Oryzias latipes: one gene and its partner. The protein of the gene in region 1 interacts with the protein of each later gene in a pairwise test. Links are inferred from orthologs where the notes say so. Each region holds a gene or a part of one and is shown on either strand. Other genes may lie near its edges.

Region 1 (8,365 bases):
TGAAAAGCAAAGTTAAACGAGTTTACCCCTCCACAGCAGGTGAGCGCTCTGGTCTGCTGCTGCCTCTGAACCGGTATCTCCTCTGGCTGTGAAGGCGAGGTGGGCGGCCTGGTCCGAAGTGTTCATTGGATCCTAACAGACCACCCATCTGCCCCCCGAGACCAGCTGGAACCGATCCCCCGATCGGTCCAGCCCCCAGTCCTCCGAAATCACTAAAACTCCCCAAACGACTGCTGGAGAGCCTTGGCTCGGAGTCAGGAGTGTCACTGTCTGTTGTAAACGGCCTCTCCAATAACAGGAGGTGCCACAGCTGTAGAGACGTTAGGATTAACAAACAGTTATGGAAAGGGACATGAAAAAAAAAAAAAAGACAGGGAGACAGAGAGATCAAAAAATGGGGGGAAAACTCAAAAATTAATCATAATTTAATATGATCAGAGTCAAACGTACCTCTGCAAACTGTGTGGCTGTGTCATCTATCCCATTTGCACCGCCGTCTAGAAGACTAATGAAAGCAACACAAACAGGGGAGGTACAACAATCTCAATAAACGCGTACTAAACTGATCAACTAAAAGGTCACGCTGGAAGAAGATTCAATAAACAGATAACTGACAGAGCAACAAACATGTATTCACTTTTAAGGTTCTGTTCCAGAAACAGAGGTCTCTTACCTGGAATCCTCTGTTACTTCCTCTATGAAACCTGAATCACATCTTGGACAGATGTATTCCTGCAAGAAAAAGAACAAGGACAGAGTCACGCTTATTTATAAAGGCTGAGGAAAAAAAGAGACAACTAAACATCGAACTATGGCCACATTTTTCATTTCAATTGGGTTTCAGCACATCAGAAAGAAAAAAAAGTAACATTTAGATGTAAAAACTTGGTTTTACATTTAGTATACATCCTATTGAAGATGCCAAACACAATACAAGTAAAAAAGATTCAAATGACAGTAGATATTTCAACACACCAATGTGTACGATGTTAACATCCTGGTTTAAGGGCTGTTGAAAGTACATTAGAAATACTATAAGCAAACATGTCCATCATTAAGACTTTCCAGTTAAATGTACTTTTAATTGTTTACATCTTAATATGTTGAAAAACAGACATTTTAAAAGCCTGTGCAACTGTTTTCATGAGCCAAACCATTTTTGGGCTTGTGTTTTATTAATGTAAAATACAACACATATCGTGATACTTCAAAGGATAATTGTTAAGAAAAATGTATGATGTTTTTTTTTTTTTGATTGGCTGATTAAAAGCATAAATAATGACTTTCATTTAGTGTTTCAACATATGAATGCAACCAAAGAGGTACGGCTGGTCTGCCAACCACACCTTAGGGGGAGGGCGTTCAAAACCAGCATGACAGCTTGGAGCAAACACAACCAGCAAGCAGCCTTTGCAGCAGGATGGATCATATGTTGTCCTCTCATTTAAAGATAGAGCTTTTCACTCAGGGGAACAGGATTGAGGTCACTTAGCATAAAAACAAAGTTGTAAGCCATTACGGCAACACCTGAAGTACAATACTTGTAGCATTAAAAAGTGGGTCACAACAATAATGTCTTTTTAGATTGTAGTTCACTCGATTTGGAGTGCTAAATATACAAATGAAATTCACAAATGTTCTTAAGGTTGAATTGAAAAAAAAAGTGACTATGAATTACAGAAATTATTTTGGTCAAAGCCTTTGAATTCAGATTTACTCACAAAACTCACACAATTACTTGTAATAAATAAATGTTATGTATTGTTTTGTTGATTTTTATAATTTACTTTATATTTCAGGTTTAAAAAATGTTTGATATTATCTTTGCAGTTGCTTGATCCAACACAGAAAAAGAAAATCACAAAGAGACAAGTGAGTAAATCCAGAATTAGTGACCAATTATCTGAAATTTAAAAATAATGGGGAGGCAATAGTCACAGCTCTGTTTCCAGTTTACTGGTCGATTAAACAAATAGACGTTTGGATGTTTATTTTTACTTTATGGCACAGTAAATCACAGAACCCTCCATCTCTGTATCAGTCTAACAGATTGCTTCTAAGAAGCTAACAGGTTGCACTTTTTAATTTAAACTTTCAGTCAAAATCTAGACACAACATAAAGCAGTGTTTCCTAAAATTCGGGTTATATAACAAAATTCATTTACTCAATACATCAGCCAGTTATAAGCTAAATTTATAAAACATGTAAGAGAACACATTCATGTTAGAAATTCAGATATTTCTGGTATTTATTTTAACCTGTCCAAATTTTTTCTTGTCCAAAATGAAATACTATAATCATTATCATCAACAAAATAACTTATATTTCAATGATTGAAAAATGTGTGTCAATTTTTATTTATTTACCAAGGAACATTTGTTTCAAAAACACAAAACGGAGTCAACAAGAGAAAAAAAACTACAAATAAAAAAACAAACACTTACAGTTAGTTAAATGTTTTTGTAAAAACGTAGGAATGTCCTTTTAAATAAATGGCCTTTTAAAGAATATTTGTAAAATAGTAATAGTAGGCCATTTAAACGCCTCTTCTGCCGACATTGTTACGTTTGACTTTAACACTAAAACTGAAAGTAAACCACAACGTATGACATCTACAGAAAACTTCCCCTGCTTATACTGCCACTGCTGTTAACAGAAACAAAAACTAAATGTGTATATATACTGAAAAGGAAAATCTGAGTGACAGTTTATGAATAAATAAACTCTCAGATTAATTCGGGCTGTTTTGTTCAAAAACATGCATCTATCATTTACCACCAAGCACACAACTTCTACCTTGAAGCACAGAGATTAGCGTAAGTATTTTAAAACAGGCACGAATAACAAGACCTACTATCGTTAGTTTTAAGAGTAGCTTAGTTTCCCCTAAAACGACTAACCGGAGTTTCTTTACTGACTTAACAACAACAAACACTGCTATATGCTAATAGCCTATGGGCTTAGCTGTAGCAAGAAGTAGCCGAAACAAACAGCTACCTGCCGGAAGGCAGACTTGTCAGCCGCGCATAACACTCAACATAAAATGAGCGAATAACCAAAAATAACGCGACTTACCGGGAGTTTGGGATTTACTTCTCCCTTACAACAGTGACAGAAAAACCGATGCGAGGGAACAGCCGCAGCCTCCGCCATCTTCCCGGAGCAGCACAAACACTGACGTCGGTCCTCCACTAGCTGAAGGGAGCTGTCCGCCCCCAGCCCGGCATGCACTGCGGCACTGTTGTCGAATCACAGCAAGCAAAAAACCGGGAGCGGAAGTGTCTGTTTGTTGTCATCGACTAGCCTCATGCGCTAAACTATCTGCACGGAGTCTGCTTTCATTGCGAGATCTGAAATCGAAAAAGGTTTGTGAAAAAAAAAAAATGCCAGGCTTATACCATCAAATATTCAGAGATAATTTAGTAAATTCCCAGCATGCAATTGTAATTTTACTATCCAAAAGCCCAAGGGGGAAAGAACTTGAACAACTGTTGACTTTTCAAATTAGAAGAGATAGTTTACATGCACTGTATGCTATAAGGGAAACTACTTAATGACCGATCTAACTTTTTATTTTTAGATTTTACCTGTTGGAATAAGTGGTGCCTGTTTTAACAAAGTAAAATACTATTATTGTTGTTTGTAGTTCGTAAACTAGATGTATAGAGATAACATAACTAAAAAAAGTGCTGTTTATTGAAAAACTAAACTGAACTAAAATAAAATTGATTTATTGTTTATATTGGTTCATGTTGAACGATCAAATCCGATCCGATTCACTGATCTAAAATCGATCCAGAACATCTTTAGCCAAGAATTCAACCAGTGGGACTCAGAAAATAAATACCTGGATTCTGAACAGTGCAGGGGAAGTTTTCCACATTCCCTGTATTTTTTTGCAACATAATTAAGTGTAAATTAAACATGTTTACAAACAAACAAGTAAAAAAGAATGAATGGACAGTTTTACCTACATTTTGCTGCCATTCGATGTGTTGTCTGTTTTAACGTTATAGTTAGAAAAAAAGCCTACTGTGCCTTAATCCAAATGGTATTTTCCAATATTGATAATAATTGATTTATTTCCTTTTAAAATTAATTCATATTGGTATAGTTTGATTCGATTAACATCTTGCCTCAGATGGATGAATCGATTCATCTTTACAGCCTACTAAAAGCACATGCATTAGTTCTTATTATTAACTTAGTGGTTTTCATTGAACTGTTGGTGTGTTTGTGCAGATGACAGCCCAGGAGGTCCGTCTGTGTGGTCTTCTGCTGCAGGAGCACTTTGGAGAAGTGGTGGAGAAAGTGGGAAGAAATCTGCTCAAAAGTGGAACGCAAAATTTAAGAGCCATTGTTCATGAAACTGGCTTGTCAGTGGATCTGGTAGGTCAACGCAAGACTGAGATTGCATTCGCTGTAGTCAGATGTTCTTTGAAAAATAATCAAAATTATTCATTATTTGAATTATTATTCAAAGCAAACGGTCACATATATTACTATGTCCCTTGCAATATGGCAAAAGTTAGTTCTTTAAAGATATTTGAACAATAAGAGAAACAAAATTATAATGTAATTATTCAGGTAATATATATTCATATTTGAAAACAGTTTTACCTGAAACTGATTGCTTATCAGTTTTTTGTCAATACAATACAGTGATGTCTGGTAATGTTCATGTACTTTAACAGGACTTCTTCTTCTTTCATCAAGGTAAAGAAGTCTCTGTGCGTTCTTGTGCAACATGGAGCCTGTTCGTTTATTCAAGGTCGAAAAGGACCGGGGAGCCCGACGGAATACAAAGCCCACTGCGATCGGGTACTGAGAATTCTGCGCTACCCACGTTACATATACACAGCCAAAACGCTGTACGGCGACACCGGTGAGCTTATCATAGAGGAGCTGCTGCAGAGGGGCCACATGACGATGAGCAACACAGTTAAGACAGTCGCAGACCGTCTAACTCAGAGTATGGACGGTGAGCATCAGAATCAAACAAAAGACTGTCCATAAAAGAGATGATCTGTTTTCTGAAGGTTTTTTTTTCAGTTAAGCTTTGGATTGAGGCCTAAAATATCGCGATCAGTAGATTCATTTTCTAATGAATACTTCCTTTGATGTTTTGTTGATACAGAGGGGTCGAGCATGGATTATGGTGAAGTGTCCGCCACCTTTTCCAAACTGGTAGAGACTCATTTTCTCCAGCGCTGTCCCCCAGCAGCAGGAGCAGGAACGACAGGGAGCAGTCAGACTGCCAATTCGACTTCTGCAGCTCCTGCCAGCAGCACTGCACCCACACCGGAAAGCTTCCCCGACTGCTACAGGGTTCCTCAAGTGACACTCATAGGCCGGAGCAAACGCTCGCTCGCCAGCGAGGAAGGAGAGGACCAAAGAAATGCGAAAAAAGCGAAAATGGACCCAGAGGTCAGAGAGACGTTTGTTAAAGCAAGATGTTCACTGCATATGCTAAGACTTCTATGGTTGTGACTTCTGTTTGTCTTCTCATAACTTGGATCTTTGGTGCTCAGACTCATGGGGATGAGGGGATTTACTGGCAGGTGAACTTTGAACGGTTCCACCAGCATTTCCGGGATCAGACTATCATCAGTGCTGTCGCCAACAAACTAGATCAGGTGGGAATTCCACAAAACATTTCAAACTAACCATTTTTTTTATTCATTAAAAGAAAAACAGGTTTTGAAAAATAATTGCCTAGAAAAAAAAACCCAAATACATTTCCTCAGTGTATAATTATTTGATGGTTAAAAGTAAAAATGAATAGTATTTGAAAACCCTCTTTGTATGGCTGAAGGAATTTAGCATAAGCATTTGGTTGTTTGATAAGACTATCTGACTTTGAAGTATTGACCTTAAAATCAAAGAAAATTCAAATTTTAAATGAAATAAAGTGATAGTTTTTGGAAGTACTCCTAATAATTCCTCTTTTTTCTTGGATTGTTCTCTGTGCTTTAAATACTACAGCTTTTTACATTTATTTCATTATTAATTATTTATTATTATTATTTATTATTAACTAGCTGTCTTCTCACATCTTTCCTACCCAGACCAGCAGTGAAATAGTGAGAACCATGCTGAGGATGAGTGAGGTGACAACCTCTTCCACTGCCCCGTGCACAAAACCCCTTTCAGCCAATGAGATCTTCAGGTCCCTCCCAGCTACTTACAACATCCCCCGCCATATATTGGACCAGTACCTCACTCTGCTGGTGGATGACCCTGTAGGTCCTCCTCATCTCAAATATCTCTCTGATTTTTGCTTGGCTCCCCACAAAATGCTCAAAAAGTTTCCCACTTTTCCTTCCTAAGATGGAGTTTGTGGGGAAGGCTGGGGAAAGTGGAGGAGGAATGTATATTGTCAGTATCCTTTCTGCTCACTTGAAGGTTCAAACCATCCCACAGGTGTGCGTGTCATTCGCTACTAAACCCAAAACAAAAGCTTTCCCTAACTTTTCTGTCAGATCTGAACCAAGCATTGGCTAACCTGGCACGGGCCACCCTGGAGTCCATCGTACAAGAGAGGTACACCAGTGTGTGTGTTTGCTCTCCACACATACGGTTGCTATTGGGCTCCCATTGTTAATAAGATACCTTTTATTCATCCTCAGATTTGGCTCCAGATCAGCGCGCATCTTCCGCCTGTTGCTACGGAAACGTCATCTGGAGCAGAAGCAAGTGGAGGATTTCGCCATGATTCCAGCAAAAGAGGCTAAAGACATGTTGTACACTCTGCTCTCACAGAACCTGGTCCAGCTTCAGGTACGTGGATGTAAAATGGGTTTAAAGAAGGAACTGGATGAAAAGTTTACGATTTGTTTTAATCATACACCTGGATCTATCCTAAGACTAATTTTTTAACCTGGTGGTGAATTTTAAACATCTGAGCTGAAGTTATTTAATCCAAAACAGCATTGTTCTGTTTACCAATGTATATAGATTTATTTAAAAATACATGTGTTGAGTTCTCAAAGTTTGAACCAAGCAGCCATAGTTCTAGTTTTTTCTTTTTTTAGTACAATTTTTATTATCTGTAATTATCTCTTTTTTAAATGTATCCTCCAGGAAATCCCCAAAACACCAGACTTTGCTCCCTCTCGGACCTTCTATCTTTATACCGTCAACCAGCTGCCTACTGCGAGATTGCTGCTACAGAACTGTTACAAGGTGAGTCTGAAAACAAACTGGGAGCTTTAGAAAGCTGGATGGAGAGCCACAGGTGTATTATTTCATGCCTGCTTTCCTCTCCAGACAGTGGCCAACCTTATGGAGCGGCGGCTGTTTGAGGCCAAAGAAAGCAAGTGGGTCTTTGAATCATATTTTTCCTTGAAGTTTTACAAGAATGCAGGTACTGCTATGCGCCAAATGTGAATTATGTTTGTTTTTTAGGCGCCTTCTGGAGAAATCGCAACGAATCGAAGCTATTTTGGCGTCTCTGCAGGCCAGCGGGGCCGAACCCGAACAGCTCACTGAAGTGGAAGAAATGATCACCGCTCCTGAAAAGCAACAACTGGATAGCTTAAGGCTTCATGTTAACAAGTAAGAGAAGACGACAGAAACAAAAAATGTATATTTGGCAAAGTTTTTTAAACAGGTTTTAAATTTTCCTTTTTTTTCTTTCCAGATTAGATTCAGCAGAGAATCAAGTGGATGAAACAATCTTTCTTCTGGAGTCCTACATAAGTTCCTCTACAAAACCTACAAGTTAAGTCAGATTTGGAAGAATGACTGACACCCCACATTTTACTTAAAAATTATTTGATTTTGTTTTTTTGTCACAACAGTTTTAGAGTTTACAGCAAATATGTTTCGGTTAGAAGTGGATTTAAATCTGATTGTTTTTATTCCTTGCAAATAATAAACACAACAGGAGGAACCCTTTCCAAATGTTTTTTATTTCCCATCATGAAACAAAAAGCTGTAGAACCGAGTGAACATTTGAAATATAAAACCATGAACAAGTCTGCAAGTTAAATAAAAGAACTGTGGCTTAATACATTTTCAAATTCCTTAAAATTAAACTAAGGTTATTTACAAACATTGGGGTAAAAAGTATTTATTAGTCACTGATTCTGCAAGTTAATGAGAAGCCTGTAATGTTTATCATAGATATGCTTCAACTGTGGGAGACGGAAAGTAAAAAAGAATCCAGAATTGTTTTTTTTTTTATAGAATGTACTTGAATAATGGTGCGTTTAATGTCAAATCCTACAGTGTGGTTTCCTGGATTCTTGTTCTGTTTCTTAAAGTTGAAATGAACTTACGATGAACATTACTGATCTCTCTCATCATTTTAAGTGGGACAACTTGCAGAATATTCAAATACTTTTTTTGCCCGGCTGTAAG
Region 2 (8,365 bases), about 14 Mb from region 1:
AAAAAGAGATCCAGACACAACACACACACACACACACAGCCCAGAACCAAAACTGTGCTGACACCTCCCCAGACTCAAAGTCCAGGTTTAACAGAACCAGACTTACCCGTCTGTCTCATCTGCTCCGAGTTCTGAACCCTTCTGGACTTTGTTGGAACAGAACTGCAGAACCCCCACCACAGGAACATGACCCAAACCCAGAACATGTCCAGACCACTAAAGTTCTTCCAGACCTCAGAACTGGTGAGGCTGTGGTTCTAGAACTGGGTCATACATCCAAAGATGATGGTTCTGCAGAACTGGAGACTGTCTCCATCAGCTGCTGTCTTAAAGTCTGACAACGGAACCATTTTGGGTCCAAATCCTGATGGTTTGGCTGATTAGATTAGAGGCAGGACATGGGGGGGGGGGGGTCTGATCTCTGAACCTAAGGACTGGTTCCAAGGTTCTGGTCTGAATAAGGAGTCCAAGTTGCAGCAGATACAAATCCAGTCTAGCTCAGTTCTAATGAAGTCCTACAAAAACCCAGACCTGCTCCTGGGGGGTACAGACAGCATGACCCCCCCTCCTGAGAACCAGGCTTCTGAAAGCAGGATAAGGGTTGCAGTCGCCTCCCATCTGGGTCCTCTGAGCTGCCCCCCGACCTGACCTCTACATCACCCCCCCCCCCCCCACTGGGGGGCGTGTGACGTCGCACGCTCACATTTGACCATGAACTTCACACTGACTGAACCATGCAGGTCCAATCTGCACCCCCAAACCAGACTGCCCCCCTCACACCATGCCCCCTCTCTGCTCCCACCCCCCAGGGACAGATGTCCCAGTCTGGCCCTGACAACTACTCCTATGGAGGTCCACAGAGCAAGAACCGTGGTCTTCACGGTGCTGAACCCGGCCCGCTGCTCTCTGGACCTCTTTGCCCTCAGCAGTGGCTTACAGGAGCCGCTTCAGCAAAAACTCATTGAATCAAATCTGGAACCAGACTGGGTCTGGTTTTTGGAGGAGTCTCCGTCTTCTACCTTCTAATCTAGACAACAACCCTGCAGGTCCAAGACCAACAAACAACCAACCATGAATGAGAAATGAAAAAACGTAGAAACAAAGAATGGAAGTGAATCACATGAAGCCCCCAAACGCCACCAGAACCTGTGGTTCTGCTACAGGCTGGTTCTGAAACGTACCTGAGCAGCAGAGACTCAGCAGAATCATCCAGCTTCCTGTCGTCTTCATGTTGGTCCTCTTTGGACCCGAACCATTGGAGATGAAGGTCAGCAGCTTCTCCAGGAACCCACACCTCCACTCTTCAGCCTCCTCCTTGCCTCCTCTTCCTCCAAGCTGCAGGAACTCAGATCTTTGTCACACTGACGTCCCCCCAAACTGAACCCAAGTCTGACTGGGCGGGGGCGGAGCAGATGCTGAGTGTGGGTGGGGGCTGATGTGGTGACGGCGACCCTGGGGGGGTTGAGATCCTGCCTGAGGTGGGTGTGTAGCTGATGTGACGAGCAGAGGAGTAAGATGTGAAAAATAGACGGGCGGGGGCTAAACCGCAGCTGGGGGGGGGTGAGGCTGGCTCCATCCTCCAGGACTGAGGGTCCGGACTCTCGGATCAGGTTCAGTTTTAAAGTCGTCATCGTCCAGATCAGGGGGGGGGGGACAAAATAAAGCAGGGAAGTAAAGTCCCGGGCAGAACTCAATATTTACTGACCCTAACAGCCAAAGCTTGATGTTACAAAGATGAGAAATGAAATTAGAAATAAAAGACATCAGTGGTTTTCTTTCCCTATTTAAACAAATAAATAAAGTACTTCTCAGGAAATCTTTGTCAAAGCCAACAACAAAAGAACCAAAAATAATGTCATTCAACAAAACTCCAACATTTGACTCTGAACATTCCAGGCCTTGCAGTGGGAAAAGTGCCTCAGACACAGAAATATTCCAGCTGTTTGCTGCACATTGGTCTAAGCCAGATTCCTGCCATCTTTTCTTAGCTGCAGCTTCACCAAAGTCTGGGGTCAGACTGTGAGATTTTAGCAGGAATGTCCTCAAAGCCTGTCGGCCATCTTTCTTTCGGTCATTTCTTTGTGAAGTACCGGGTGCCATGTCGCCGACCCCTGCTGAACTACGATTGGGATGTCGTGACAGGGCGTCCACATTCTGCCAGAACGATACTTTATCTCATAATCATCATGGCCCATTTAAGAGCCAAGAACTCCAGCTTCATAGAGCTGCAGTTCTGCATGTTACGCTCTGTAGCTTTTAGCCCCCTACTGGCATGGCAATGGCCGCACACTGCCACCCTGCTCCTGGGACAAAACTGCACCAAGGCCATTGTGGCTGGCATCTACTTCCAGAATAAAGGGTAGTGTGAAGTCAGCACAGGCCAAAACTGGCGCTGACGTCAATTTCTGCTCACAGCACCAAGATTCCTGTGGCAGTATGGTTTCCCCTTGGATGCCTCCAGTAGAAGACTTAAAATGAAGAGCACAGGACTCTCCGACAGGAAACCAAGACTGTGCTTTTAAGAAAATAGACACCCTTTATTACAAATAGTATTAAAATTCCTATTCTGAAAGACACCCAAAAGAGTTAACCAAACCACAAGGGCCATCATGCCCAGCCCACACAGTCAGCTGCACCCAGCCGTGCGCTCTGTTGCGGCACAACAGGCTCAATGCCACGCCCCTTGCGTACAGTGGCAGTAACCGACGCCAGTCCAGGGTGGTGGGACACTGGGCTCTGGTTGTGCCCGGGGCCACAGAAGGCCGGAAGGGGGAACCCGCTCCGATAGCTCTCGATCCGGCTTCATCACGCCGCTCCCCAGTGCGTGGATGGACGGCACTCGCTGAAACGGTGTACAGAGCACACACGATCCCCGGAAATCCCGGCCGTGGCACCGCTCCTGGACAACGGTGCACCAAGGGGTCAGCGGGTTGGATAGAGCAGAAATGCAAACAAACGATGGGAAACAAAAGAAACAGCGGCACCTGCCCCCCAGCTCAGGAGGACTCTCCACAGGAGTCGCATGAGCGGCCAAACACTGCCTGCGATCCAGCTATGGTTATGGTTATGGTTATGGTTATGGCCCCACACACAGCCAAAGGCTGTTGTAAACTTAGTTCATAAATGTTAAATGAGCTGTGATGGTAGCATGCTGCTGCTGTTCTGCTGCTGCTGTTCTGCTGCTACTTCTGCTCCAATAAAACATGTCAGTTGACATGGACAGAGTGACTCTATGGGGGGGGGGGCGGGGGGGTCTCGCGCGGGGAGTAATTCAGGGTAGAACCGCCACTGCTATCGACCATAAATGTAGCTGGATTTCTGTCCTCCTGTCCGATAGGGGGCAGAAACGCGCGGCCCAACGCAGAATGCAAGCGCGCGCAAACTGCCGTAGGACATTTCCGGTGGGTAGTAGGCGGGGCGCCTGTAAAGCGAGGTCCGGGGACGGTAAACAACCGTTCGTGGTGGAGTTTGTGAAAGTCTGAACCGAACATGGAGCGCGCCGCGGGAGCGCGCACTAAGCTGCAGCCGTAACGGAAAAGCGGGAACAGGTCAGAGGAGTCATACCCGACCGAGCGCGAGCCCAGGTCAGAAGGGAGCCCGCAGGGTTCTGATGGAGCTTCACGATCAGCCTGATCGATGAGGCTGATGACGTCAGCCGAAGCCCCTGAATCAAAAACCAAAACATTTTCCTCGTTTCTCTGAAAGCAGCTCAGAACCACAGCGACCAGAGAGGCGTGACGTCATCAGGAAGCAGGGGTTCAAACGTGGGTTCTTAGGCCCCACATGCTGCAGTGTCGTCAGTGACATCATCACATACGTCATCAGGGCTGGAATGGTTCCCTGTCGAGACGGATCCGATTCCTAGTCCATATCTAGTCAATGCAGAATTCAGTCGCCGTTTTAACGCCGCCGCCAGTGATTGGTCCGAGTTGGTCTGAGTCATCGTTTCTATAGCAACCACACTGACCAACCAGGAGTGAGCTTGTTGAAAGGCCACACCCACTTGAAAGCAGGTTACAGAAATCAGTCAAACTTGGGGTTAGGGTCAGCAGGCTCCACCCACTTTCATTGAGGCGTCTGATTGGTCAGTTTATACCTTGAACTACAGAAATGAAATGAAAAATGAGGATTATCAGGAAGAGGTTCTAAAGAATCAGATCCAGAGCGGTTCCTCTGACCCATAGAACGACTGAGGAACAGCCGTTTGTAGATGTCTACGGGATTTTCCTGTTTGGAACGCTAGGGGGCGGGGCCACTCGGTCCAGTTCCCACATGCAGTCACTGGTTTATTCCCGTTTTTTCCTCTGGAAATGCCTGTATACTGCCACCTGCTGGAACAGACGCTACATGACATCAGGTTCTGAGGGGATGGAAGGAACAACCGAAAACGATCAAACACACCTGAAAGGCCTTGATGCGCTTCCCTCTGACCTGAAAAGGGGGAGTGGTCATTGGGCTGTGTGACAGGGGCGGGGCTTACCCCGTGGACGTATCCTGATTTACAGTGGGGTCCTGTTGTGTCTTTAGGGCGGTTCTGGCTCGGTCCGGTTTTGTCTGAGGGGGACCAGCCATGGCGGGACGAGGGCGGGGCCGTAGGCCTTTCGGCACGGACTCGAGCATCAGCAGGGGAGAAGGTCTCCCCCCAGGACTTCAGCAGCCCACGCCTGTGTTTCCTGTAAGCCCCGCCCACACCAGGAAAACCCCTCATTTATATTTAAGTGTTATTCTTTTTGGTTGAATGAAATCCCTCTGTTGTTGTTTTCATTGTTTGTTAAAGCTGTTCATGTCATTCTGAACCTTGTGGGTTATTATGGGATGTCACTGACGTCTACGTTAGGCAGACATTTATCGTCTCGACGTGAACCGTAACAAACAACAGATGCAGGAAAGAGGAGCTCTGACATTTTTCTGCTCTGACACCAACAGTTGGGGTAATGCGCTGATTTTGAAGCACTGAATTCTGGGATTTGAAGTTGGTGGATTTGGTGTCCAGGTGATGGAGCAGAAGCCCCTCCCCCTGGCAGGTGGAGAAGAAGCAGAGTATCTATTGGCCCTGAAGCAGGATTTTAGAGGAGTGATGAAGAATCTGCCATTCTTCATCAAGCCAGCAGCAGCACAGCGAGGTCACACACGTGCACACACACACGCGCGCACACACACACGCAGTCTTATTTTGAAAGTCCTGCTTTCTTCCTGTGCAGATGTTCAGCGCTACTCGGACAAATATCACAGCAGCGAGCAGACGAACAGCCTCACGGACTGGAACCTGGGTGAGACGCCGTTACCACGGTAACATCCAATGAAAACGCCATCAGAACCTTCATGTCTGCACGTCTCTGGATTTCAGACTGGAGACGATTCCCCAGAGAGCTGCAGGTCCACATCAGGAGGAGAGTCAGAGAAGGCGAGTAATCCCATTACTCAGTACTCTGGGTACCTTACTGACTCGTCTGAACAGTATTCATCAGCAGTAATCAGATTACTCAGGGGGGTGAGCATCAGCTGCTGTCTCCCTCAGGTCTGGCCTTCAGCACCATGGATAGTTCTGTGCCAGTCCAGAAGAAGAAGAAGAAGAAGGAGGAAGAGGAGGTGCTGCTCAAACTGGAGGTGAAGGGTTTCTATAGAACCTCTGATGATGATGATGATGATGATGATGATGGCTTTAATGGAAGTGTCTGCAGACCCTGGAGAAGAAGGAGGAGCATGAGCAGAGCTCAGAGGAGGAGGAGGGAGGGGTGAAGAAGAAGCCGGAGGAGGAGGAGGGAGCAGAGGCAGAGGAGGAGTATGATGAGGAAGAACTGGAGGAGGTACGTGGTCAGCAGGCCTGGGTCAGAACCACGGAGGCTCTGCAGGTCTAACTGGACCCTCTGTGCAGGAAACCGACTACATCATGTCGTACTTCGACAACGGCGAGGAATTCGGCGGCGACAGCGACGACAACATGGACGAGGCCATTTACTGAGCAGCTGCTGCACGTGCACGCCACGTGCACGCGTGTGACTGAAGAGGCAGTCCAACCTGGTGTCACCTGCTGCTCCAATAAACAGACGGTCACGTGACCTCGTGTGTCGACCTGCAGCCAACAGTCTGACGTTTGATCCTTTCGGGCCGTACCATACTTCACCACCAGGGGGGGCCGACGTCCCACCTACTGTTGGCGCTGGAGCTTCTGCTTCCAGGAGGTGACGTCAGCCTGAAAGCTTCAGTTTAGTTTTTCATTTCAAACACAAAACCAACATGGTGGTTTAAAAGACATAAAATAATAGAGTGTTCTTGAAAAGGAGTGTTCCACCCCCCCCTTTTCACAAAACCTGATGGTGTACGTATTTAATACACGCATTACTATTTACAGATGGTACAAAACGTTCACGGTACTATTCTGCATGGAGACTGTGCTAAAGTGACAGTTTTTGTTTAATCCTTTCTGGCCTCATCCAGATCTATTAGTGACTTCTTGTAGGTTTTTTTGAATACATGTAAACTTTTGGTTGTAAACCTTCATCCAATCTGTTCCATAAATCCACAATTAGATAAACACATTTTCTTTTTGTTGTGTGAATGGATTACTTTAGTGTCAGTTGTTTTCTCGTCTCTGTCTGAACATTTGCTGAAAGCTTCAGGGCTGCGTCTGGATGGACTTTCAAGTGTGGTTGTACTCAAAGCTACGGTGGCCCTGAAGGTCAAACCCCTCAACACTAAAGCATGTCAAAGCTCAACATGACATGTTAGAAATCAAAGCTAAAGACCAGAAACTAAAACCCAGAACATGGAGGCTCTGATATTCCAGACAAACGGGTTCCTGGCTGAGTCACAGCTCTGCTCACGGCACGACGAAATAAACGAGACGAAATAAACGAGGATTTTAGTGACCAAACTTCATCCATTTTTAGTTTCAAGTTTGTCTTAGATTTACTGCAGTCAGAATTTGATGCTTTATTTCATAAACGTCTGAAGAGGGTAGTGAAGATTCCCCACAGTGACGTGCACGGGCCTCCGCCTCAGAACATCTGGTTCTGTGTGGGCAGAACTGTTCATGAAGGTGAGCAGTGGTGACCTTTGCCCTGCTGATCCTGCAGATCCACGTCTGGAAAAGGGCCTAAAGCTCCGCCCCCTTGTGAGCCCCATGCTGTTCTCAGCCAATCAGGGCCTCCTGAGCCGCTCAGTGTTGAGCTCAGCTGTAACATGAAATGCCTGGATGTGCAGGACATGAGGCGCACACCCAGAACAGAACCACCTTTGCTCCACTTTCCCAGAACCCCCTGCTGGAGTCAGCTAATCCCAAACTGGACCGAGCGACCCGGTCCGTTCTGCTGCTGAACCCTAGACCGGCTCCTGTGGGCGACTTTAAGTGTCACCATGTTTGCATGACCCAGATAACCAAAATCCAGTCATTTGACTTCATAGCTGCTCATGTAACTGCCCCCCCCCCCCCCCCCCCCCCAGCATGTGTGGGGTCGTACAGTTGAGAGGTGGGTACCTGATGGACGCCTGAGGGGGTGGAGCTAAGAATCAGAACGCTTCAGTGTTTCTGCCAAGGACAAACTAAAAATGACCAGAACATCTTTCTAAGAAGAGGAAACCTGAACCCAGACTGGAGTCCAGAGGGTCGGGCCGGGCCGGCCCAGAACTTCCTGCTCAGTCCCCGATCCTGGAGCTCCGTCTGCAGCAGACAGGATCCTACCATCGGTCCAGGAGCAACAGCAGCTTTCAAAGCGTCTCATGTTTCATCTGATTTCTGCTCCAAGAACTCTCCATCTGAGTCTGAGGCAGAACTGTTGTCCTTTAAATAAAGCTTTGATTCCATGAACTTGGTTTATTCTCAGCTGCTGCAGACATCGGTCAGTCTGGAGCTGTGATGCACTTTATGCACCAGCATGTCTGTGGAAAACAGCCAAGGCACAGAGGAGAGGAGAGGAAATCCTCAAAGCAAACGGATTCATGGAGGCCATGCCGCCCGCCTCTGCACAGCCACAGAGCAAAGCCCGTGATCCGGTCAGACCAGACATCCCGTTTCTGAGCTCCAGGATTGGATCCTGATCTGAAATGAGATGTTCCAGATGAGATAGGCTTTATTTACCCCAGGATGGGGACAGTCTGTTGTCTCGGCAGCACAGGAGACAGTCGAATAGCGAAGTTGACCCTGAAAATCAGGATTCAGATTTGGTGATCCAGTCCGTATTAAATTCCGCTGTCAGGTATTTCAAAGGTTGGATTGAATCCTGGATCAGGTTGAGGCGGATCCTGTGTTGGTTTCTGTGCATTTAGCAAACCCGATCTGAAATGTCATTCTCAGTGTTTACTCTTCCAAAAACAGACTCAATATTCTCACTAAATTCATTTTCCCAAAAGTGTTGAGTCACCGGCC

What was found.
Region 2: the proteins of polr3c (region 1) and polr3gl interact in binary tests that used the Homo sapiens proteins (3 or more experiments, as listed by UniProt). The link is inferred for Oryzias latipes from reciprocal best matches to the Homo sapiens genes POLR3C and POLR3GL.

Annotation. Positions count from the first base shown.
Region 1 is NC_019874.2:18,838,313-18,846,677, forward strand, and holds polr3c (DNA-directed RNA polymerase III subunit RPC3), read left to right. Parts: upstream 1-3,247; 5' UTR 3,248-3,366; intron 3,367-4,243; coding exon 4,244-4,390; intron 4,391-4,717; coding exon 4,718-4,982; intron 4,983-5,138; coding exon 5,139-5,428; intron 5,429-5,532; coding exon 5,533-5,637; intron 5,638-6,069; coding exon 6,070-6,243; intron 6,244-6,331; coding exon 6,332-6,383; intron 6,384-6,483; coding exon 6,484-6,544; intron 6,545-6,630; coding exon 6,631-6,781; intron 6,782-7,084; coding exon 7,085-7,186; intron 7,187-7,270; coding exon 7,271-7,320; intron 7,321-7,408; coding exon 7,409-7,558; intron 7,559-7,643; coding exon 7,644-7,728; 3' UTR 7,729-7,900; downstream 7,901-8,365. Other genes in the region: E3 ubiquitin-protein ligase RNF115, read right to left, coding at 27-310, 451-505, 674-732, 3,077-3,154. UniProt on the Homo sapiens protein: DNA-dependent RNA polymerase catalyzes the transcription of DNA into RNA using the four ribonucleoside triphosphates as substrates.
Region 2 is NC_019874.2:32,573,917-32,582,281, reverse strand, and holds polr3gl (DNA-directed RNA polymerase III subunit RPC7-like), read left to right. Parts: upstream 1-3,389; 5' UTR 3,390-3,548; exon of another isoform or gene 3,549-3,584; intron 3,585-4,527; 5' UTR 4,528-4,570; coding exon 4,571-4,675; intron 4,676-4,926; exon of another isoform or gene 4,927-4,993; coding exon 4,994-5,123; intron 5,124-5,201; coding exon 5,202-5,270; intron 5,271-5,347; coding exon 5,348-5,404; intron 5,405-5,518; coding exon 5,519-5,607; intron 5,608-5,672; coding exon 5,673-5,807; intron 5,808-5,875; coding exon 5,876-5,962; 3' UTR 5,963-6,874; downstream 6,875-8,365. Other genes in the region: immunoglobulin superfamily DCC subclass member 3, read right to left, coding at 1,182-1,230. UniProt on the Homo sapiens protein: DNA-dependent RNA polymerase catalyzes the transcription of DNA into RNA using the four ribonucleoside triphosphates as substrates. Specific peripheric component of RNA polymerase III which synthesizes small RNAs, such as 5S rRNA and tRNAs.